Nothobranchius furzeri: one gene and its partner. The protein of the gene in region 1 purifies or fractionates together with the protein of each later gene. This does not show direct contact. Links are inferred from orthologs where the notes say so. Each region holds a gene or a part of one and is shown in the gene's direction. Other genes may lie near its edges. The genes, in order: ppp1r7 and ubxn2a.

Region 1 (2,922 bases):
TGCCAATCGAGTGAAGAAAATCGAGAACATCAGCCACCTGACAGACCTGCAGGAGTTCTGGGTATGGATTATTTTAAGGCTGAATGAGAATTTGATTATTTAGAAGTTGTGTTTTTTATTTATACTTGGCTGTTGACAGCGAGTTGAGTCACGTTTAGTAACTCTTCTGCTTCATTTGGGTTAGTCGTTGGCAGTGTTGGGAACGTTACTTTTAAAAAGTAATTAGTTGTAGTTACTAATTACTTTGTCAAAAAGTAACTCAGTTACTTACCAAGTTACGAGATTATAAAAGTAACTAATTACCAAGAAAAATAACTACTTGGTTACTTTTTTCGTTAAAGAATACAAGAAAAATGGGTTCCCCTCTTAATTAAACTTACTTTATTTACTATAAATGACTACAATAGTGAAATATAAATGACTAATGCCTGGAACATAATAAAGTGTATGTCCAAATGCTTTCTTTTATAAACCTGAATAATTTAAATAAATAAGCACTTAACAGGAGGAACTACTAACAGGAACATTACACTTATCTAGACTATTAAAAGGTCACTGTGTGATATTTAACAAGACCCCAATCAGTCAAAATTTAAAATTGCAAATAGAAACACCTGTAAAGGTTCCTGAGCCTTTAAATGGTCTCTCAGTCTAGTTAAATTACTGAGATAAATGTAATGTTGTACAGTATTTTAATTTTTCCAGCTTCACATAATTGTGTGTTATTAGTAGCATTTCTGTTGCTGGTAATCTAGAAAAGGTTAAATAAATAAATAAAAATCCTTTAAAATGACACTAGAAGAGGCACAAATCTGATGGAGGACTTAAATGTACTAACTTGGGTCAGACCCAACCACAGAAGAGCTGCAGCTGGGTGGTAAACACACACAGGTAGTTCTGATAACACCTGAGCTCCATGCCATCTGAGACTGATGCATCAGTGTTACAGCGGGACTAAAGACATGATCAGGAACAGGTTACAGCTGGATGATCTAGGAAGGTAGAAGATCGGGACGTCTGAGCGGTGAACAGGTGAGCGGACCTTCGGGACGTCCCGCTGTCACGCTCAGAAGGGCACGGCTGCAGATCCACACCTGCAGCCGTAGACTATTCATCACCTCTTCCTCGTTCTTCACGGGCCGTGATGCGCTTGGATGAAAACATCTACCTCTTTAGCTGATGACAGCTTCAACACACCGCGCTGCTTAACGCACGCGTTACTGCTGGTCGTTGGGTAGCCACAGGCTCTGAGGTCAGTGTTTATTTCTCCTCCCACCTTTGAGGCTGGAGGGTGCAGACGTAGCGCAGGCAGCGTGAAGATTCACTGAATGTCAGCGCACTTGAAACTGGAAAACCATAAATCACGCATCTGCCTAAACGCCTCTGAAGAAGGAGTTTAAAAATGTTTTTGTGTGTGTGTGTGTTGATTCAGTTGGTGCTGATGGCTGTGTGTTTGTTTTTTTTAAATCCCCCCTCAGATGAATGATAATCAGATAGACAACTGGTCAGATCTGGACGAGCTGAAGAACGCCAAGTCTCTGGAGACGGTCTACCTAGAAAGAAACCCGCTACAGAAAGACCCTCAGTACCGGAGAAAGATCATGTTGGCTTTGCCCAGCGTGCGCCAGATCGACGCTACTTTTATCCGCTTCTGAAGCGCAGCGTACGACCCATCCGCCCACCTTTTTGTGTTTCGCCTCGCCTCCTTCCCTCCCTCCCTGCCTGCCCTGCTTACAAAAACAGCTCCTGATAACACTTTGGCCTCTCCATGTCATCCTCTCACCGTGTACACATTCCAACACTCACCCCATTCTTCACTCTCCATACATGAATGCATGTATGCAGTCATTCAAACCTTCATTTATGCTGTTGTGTTGATGCTTTTATTTATTATGGTTGGAACTGTGAAAGTGAAAGTCTACCATATGCTCACATCTGCTTATTTTTCTCCTTTCTGCACTTGTTTTTGTTATTGTTCTGCATGTTGGATACAATTAGGGTTCCCATCAGGGTAAAAGAAACAAGCCTTTTTTGTTGAACAAATTCTTAAAGTTGTTCCAGTGTCATAAAAATTATGTAAGGGTTTGATGCTGCTCTTGTGAGTCACAATAAGAACAATTAAAGATTAATGCTGAAGGGAAAATGTAAAAGGGAAAAAGTAGAATCTAAATTTGTTTGACTCCTGGATTCTACTATATTTCTCAGAAATGCCCTGGCCCCAGTTCTTCACAAAGAACACCTTAATGGAAAATAAAAATCAACTCTATGCTGATTTACAGTAACTTAGAAGAGTGCTACCTGCAGAATGACCAGTTTTTAGCATAAAGGTTTCTTACTAATGTGTCATAAAATAAATGGATGTCAATTAACATGTTTTTTTTGTTGTTGTCCAGCTGCTTCCTTTCCTTAAAACCTGATAGCTGATGACTCATTTCTGTTGTAGGTAAACCCCTTTTGAGAATGTGTCCAAAAACATGGATAATCAGTGATTTTACTATTTTATCTTTAACTCCTTCCTGATTACAGTCGTCGCTTATTATCAACAAACTTAAAACCTGGTCTATACTAAATTAGAATTTGTAGTCTTGGCTGGACTTCCTCAAAAGATTTTTTGTTTTATTGTAAGATAAACTCTCTGTTTGGCATACAATTTGAACATGTTTCAGCTTTAACAATGTAGGATTGCTTACAAATATCAAGTTTAAATTAGTTTTTTTTTACCCTATTAGATTGCTTAAATCAACCTGAGACTACCTGCAACAAATTTTACGACCTGTTACCCCCTCAGGGATGAGATCACCTAGATGTATACGACAGATTCAGCAGATTCCACTGCACCAGTGTTCATCTGTGTAATTAGTCTGATTTAATATTTGATCTCACTCAGTTGGTGATGAAATTACATGAAATGTTGGTTTGTAT
Region 2 (4,398 bases), on another chromosome or scaffold:
TGTGGTCTAGTGCAGCCTCGTGAAGGAGAAACTTAACTAATCAAACCCCACCTACATCTGATAGAGTTGTTTTGGACAGTAAACGAAAGATTAAGTGCATCAAGAACAAAGCTGTTTACACAGGAAAAACCCCAACCACCTACAGCTCTCCTCTAGAGTTTCACAACCATTCACACCTTCAGACATGTGACCGAAATACTTGGAACAATGACGCTAACGACTCACAGGTCAGACCGGTGGGTCTGTGACTCGCATTCCTACAGAAACACCTTTTGAGTTTGCTGGAAGGCATTATCACTCAAAAGAAGTTGCTTTTCATCCAAGCACTCAGCATGCATGCATGTGTGTGTGTCTTTGCTTTGACTTAGATGGAAAACAGAGAGCGTCATGAAAGAGGCTGACACTGGGGGCGACGAGGAGGGTGAACAATGGTAAAAACACACGGTGCACTAACTAGTGTTTGCACTTAAAGACCCTTGAGCCGATTGTGTTCAGGTAATTATCACGTCTCTGTTTGGTTTCCAGTGAGAAGAAGGAAGAAGAGGTTCCAATGAGTCGGAGTTTTTCAGTAGAGGACCTCCTCGATGAGGTGGAGAAGATCTGTTACGATGCTTCGGGGACGTCCAAGGTTTAAAACCATCACCAATCCTATCAATGCACTTCATTTACTGATGCTAACCCCACCCCAGGTGCGGCCGCATACTCAGACTAACCACGCCCCCCTCCCCCCCTTCCCTCCCCCAGATGGAGATGGTGGTGAGGTTGTGGAAGGACGGCTTCACTGTGAACGACGGAGACTTCCGCAGCTACTCAGTGCCAGAGAATCAGGAGTTCCTGGATGCCATTAAGCGAGGGTGAGTTTATTTTTAATCTGGTTAATCCAGGATATGTCCAAGATGGAGAAGTAAAAATACAAAATCTGATTTTTATTTTTGTGTACAAAGATTAAAGATGAAGCCGATAAACTTCTGAGCCGGTAGAAATGTAAGAGGTGTCGCGTTCTCTCCTCCTCGGTCTGGGAAGTTTCACAGCTTGTTGTTAATGCGTCTGAGCAGAAGTGTTCCTCATGTGGCGTCAAACAACTCCCCAGGAGTGAAGAATGGCGGCATATGAAAAGGAATATGACTGAATTCATTAATCTATTACAATAAATCAGCATTTTTAGTATCAGCATCTTTGGAACCTTAATGAAATACTTGGTGAAATATCTAGATCTAGCTTTCTGGAGCCTCCAGCCGAACGTACCACAGGAGAGCGAGGCTAGTGTTTTATTTTTATTCTCTTTGGAGTCTGTTCACCAAGTGAGAGGGTCTTGAGAAGATCTCCAGCAAGCATGACGTCTTTGGAGCCTAACTGGGATGACTGTGACTATCAAGCTGCTAATAGGCCACAAAAGTCTAAACATTTAAACAAAAACAAGTTATTTTATTGTGATTTTCGTTTTTTGCACATTAGAAAAACACATAAAGACAACATTTGGATGAAAAGGACAACATATTTACTTTTAGTACATAAAGATATAAAAGGGAAACGATCATATTAGCACGGCTTGTTTACTCCATCCAGCAGAAGCTGGGGTCTGATTTTTACTTAGTGGGTCAAACGTTGAACATTTAGGAAACCGCTGCTCTAGCCTTCAGCCTCTGGGACAGAATCAGAGATTCTAACTCGACCCACTTTGGAAGCCGCCTTGTCACATCAGCAGACTTCAGTTGCCTCGTCTACCCAGGAACTAGTGGAAACTTACCAGAGTAATTAGGTTCTGGAGGAGGAAGGTGCCAGAACGATGTCCGAATGCTCCTTTAGGGTCACACCGGCCAGTGTTTGTAATCTCATCAGGGCCGTGTCTTTGTCTCACGGATTGTTTTGTTAACAAGCTGAACTTTGAATCTGTCCCAGGGAGCTTCCAGCCGAGTGGGAGAGCAGAGCAGAAGAGGAGGAGCTGGAGATCAGCGTGGAGGACATGACGGAGGAAAACTACGTCTACAAGAAGAAGGCCGCCGCCTTTCACCCCTTCAGCGGGCGGGGGTACCGACTCGGCAGGTCTGTTGCTAGTACATAATCCTAATCTGTTGTTATGCAGCCTAACCCCAACCCTAGTTCATAGGAGATCTGAAAGACGTGCATTAAAAAGGCTGCATTCCATTTTTAAAAAGCACAGATTGTTCCAGAATACTGTCCACCACTAGGGGGCACTCTTAAGTCATTTATCTAAAGACCCATTGAGCAAAACTGACCACAATCGCAATGAAAGTGACAAACCTCATTTTTGTCACATTTAGTTCATCAGCTTTTCCAAACATTCTGCACAAATAAATCTCTTCAGACGTCACAATCTGCTTAAACTAAAATAAAAACACGTTCCGTGTGCTGCTGACACTCGACCGGTGGTTAATCTGCTGTTTACTCCCTGTCCGTTCCCAGCGTGGCACCCAGAGTCGTGGCCAGGTCACCATCTGTGCACGAGGATGGAGAATCTCCTCCTATTCCCATGGTAACACTAGACCACTCTCTTCCTGTCACGTCCCTGCAGATCTGGTTGGCCGACGGACGGAGACTGGTCCAGAGGTTCAACCTATCGCATCGGTGAGGCCGTTATCCCAGAATATTACACATAGCAGGGAAGTTTGAGGGTTTTTTTCTCTTGTTTTTGTGGTGACGGGTTTTGGAAGGGCTTTAGTCTAGTCTGATGAAGGTTAAACTATGCACCGGGCTGCAGTAAAAAACATAATCTGAGTTGAAGCAGCAGCAGAAGCGCAGATCTAGAAAATCCCCAGTGAGGGATTGCATAACTCGGATGCAGCTTTTACATAACAGGCTAAAGGATACAGAGGGCTGAGCCCCTCCAGTCCTCTGCTTGTCTCGATGAGCTGCCGTAGGACCGTTCTTACACACGGGTCGGTGTTAATAATAAATGAAACCACGTGGGGAGTGGAGTGCTTGGCAGAGAACGGTGTTTTACGTGCAGCAGCAGCAGTCTCAGATGGGACTATTTGGGTTTCATTGTGTGTCTTTTCCTAATCCGCCTCAGGATTGCTGATGTTCACGACTTCGCCTCGCGCTGCCAGAGAAGCTGCCCACCCTTCATCCTGACCACATCCCTCCCTTACCGAGAGCTCACCGACAAAGACCTGAGTCTAGAGGAGGCAGACCTGGCCCACGCCGTCATCGTCCAGAGACCCCTGATCACGCACCCTCTGTTTGGACACTCGTGACCTGTCCCGACTCGGGAGTCTCACTCACGGCACGCCTCCCTGTCCTGCGACTCGAATGGTGTTTGTTGTGCTGCCTGAGCCGCCTCTGGCGGCCGGCGTTCCCGTACGGTGTTTGTGGGTGATTAGCTGCAGGCTAACTCACCAGATCTGTCACTAAGTGCTGCTGAGAGGATGCTGTCGTGTTCTCCTGGAGGACAAAGATAATCTCCAAACCCCAGAATGTTCGAACAGGACAAACAAGTGTCTCCCCCCCACCCCCACCCACAATGCAACTATGATAAGCTAAGTCTTCCCAAACTCTGACTACTACTTTATGCACTGTTTGCAGTTTAAATAAGGGTTTGATAGGTTTACGTTTACAGTTTATCGACCACGTATTGTTTTTATCTTACCGTATTATGTCTGCCTGCTTTTAAGGATGTTTTTTGGGTTTCTAGAGTGATTTATTTTTTGCATTTGTTTTATTTTTTGTTTGTTTTTAAAGGAGTCGTTTATAAAAGTTCTGTTGTTTGACCGAATCGTTAAAATGGACGTCACGAGTCATTGTGTAACACAATAAAATCTTTTAAAATGTGTACATTTTTGTTTTGTTTTCCCCAAAAAACAACAACTTTGGAGCTCTTCAGAAGAGCCAAAAAACCAGTGAAGGGAGATTTATCAGCATCCGACCACAGAACAGCCTTTAGGTCGACTCTGATTATATTTGAGCTTTTTATGGGATAAAAATGTTACGTCTGAATAATTCCTTTTAATTTGGAGTTAAATTTGCTAATGAAAGCTGGTTTTTACTATTCTATTAAATTACAACCTCAAATATAACTAGAACATTAACAAACCTCCAAAGTTAAGCACTTATTCAGCACATATTTGCTGTAATTTGCACCCAAATCTGTTTTGCTCGTTTGATTTGGGTTTGCTTTTAGATTTATTTTTAATTTAAAGCATTAACACTATATTTAGTGTGGTCTGATGGTGCATCGCTGCATTAAAGTCAGACTAAGGATTTTCATCAGTAACACATCTTTGGGATCCATAAGGACTGGTTGTGAACTGATATGGATTTGTTTCCATTTAAGAAAAAGTGTATCCATCTTTATTTTTCTGACAACAATGCAGAAATACCCTTTCACAGGACTGCATTTCACATCCCCAAGGAGTCCAAAATAGAGTTTTTAAAATCCCA

What was found.
Region 2: the proteins of ppp1r7 (region 1) and ubxn2a purify together in Homo sapiens (affinity purification with mass spectrometry; 3 studies listed by BioGRID and IntAct, counting the BioPlex papers as one, with this or other methods). This does not show direct contact. The link is inferred for Nothobranchius furzeri from reciprocal best matches to the Homo sapiens genes PPP1R7 and UBXN2A.

Annotation. Positions count from the first base shown.
Region 1 is NC_091751.1:53,576,355-53,579,276, reverse strand, and holds the end of ppp1r7 (protein phosphatase 1 regulatory subunit 7), read left to right. Parts: coding exon 1-61; intron 62-1,478; coding exon 1,479-1,655; 3' UTR 1,656-2,369; downstream 2,370-2,922. UniProt on the Homo sapiens protein: Regulatory subunit of protein phosphatase 1.
Region 2 is NC_091742.1:21,867,983-21,872,380, reverse strand, and holds the end of ubxn2a (UBX domain-containing protein 2A), read left to right. Parts: intron 1-368; 5' UTR 369-387; coding exon 388-431; intron 432-525; coding exon 526-628; intron 629-744; coding exon 745-854; intron 855-1,899; coding exon 1,900-2,043; intron 2,044-2,424; coding exon 2,425-2,586; intron 2,587-3,031; coding exon 3,032-3,215; 3' UTR 3,216-3,790; downstream 3,791-4,398. UniProt on the Homo sapiens protein: Acts to repress the ubiquitination and subsequent endoplasmic reticulum-associated degradation of CHRNA3 by the STUB1-VCP-UBXN2A complex in cortical neurons.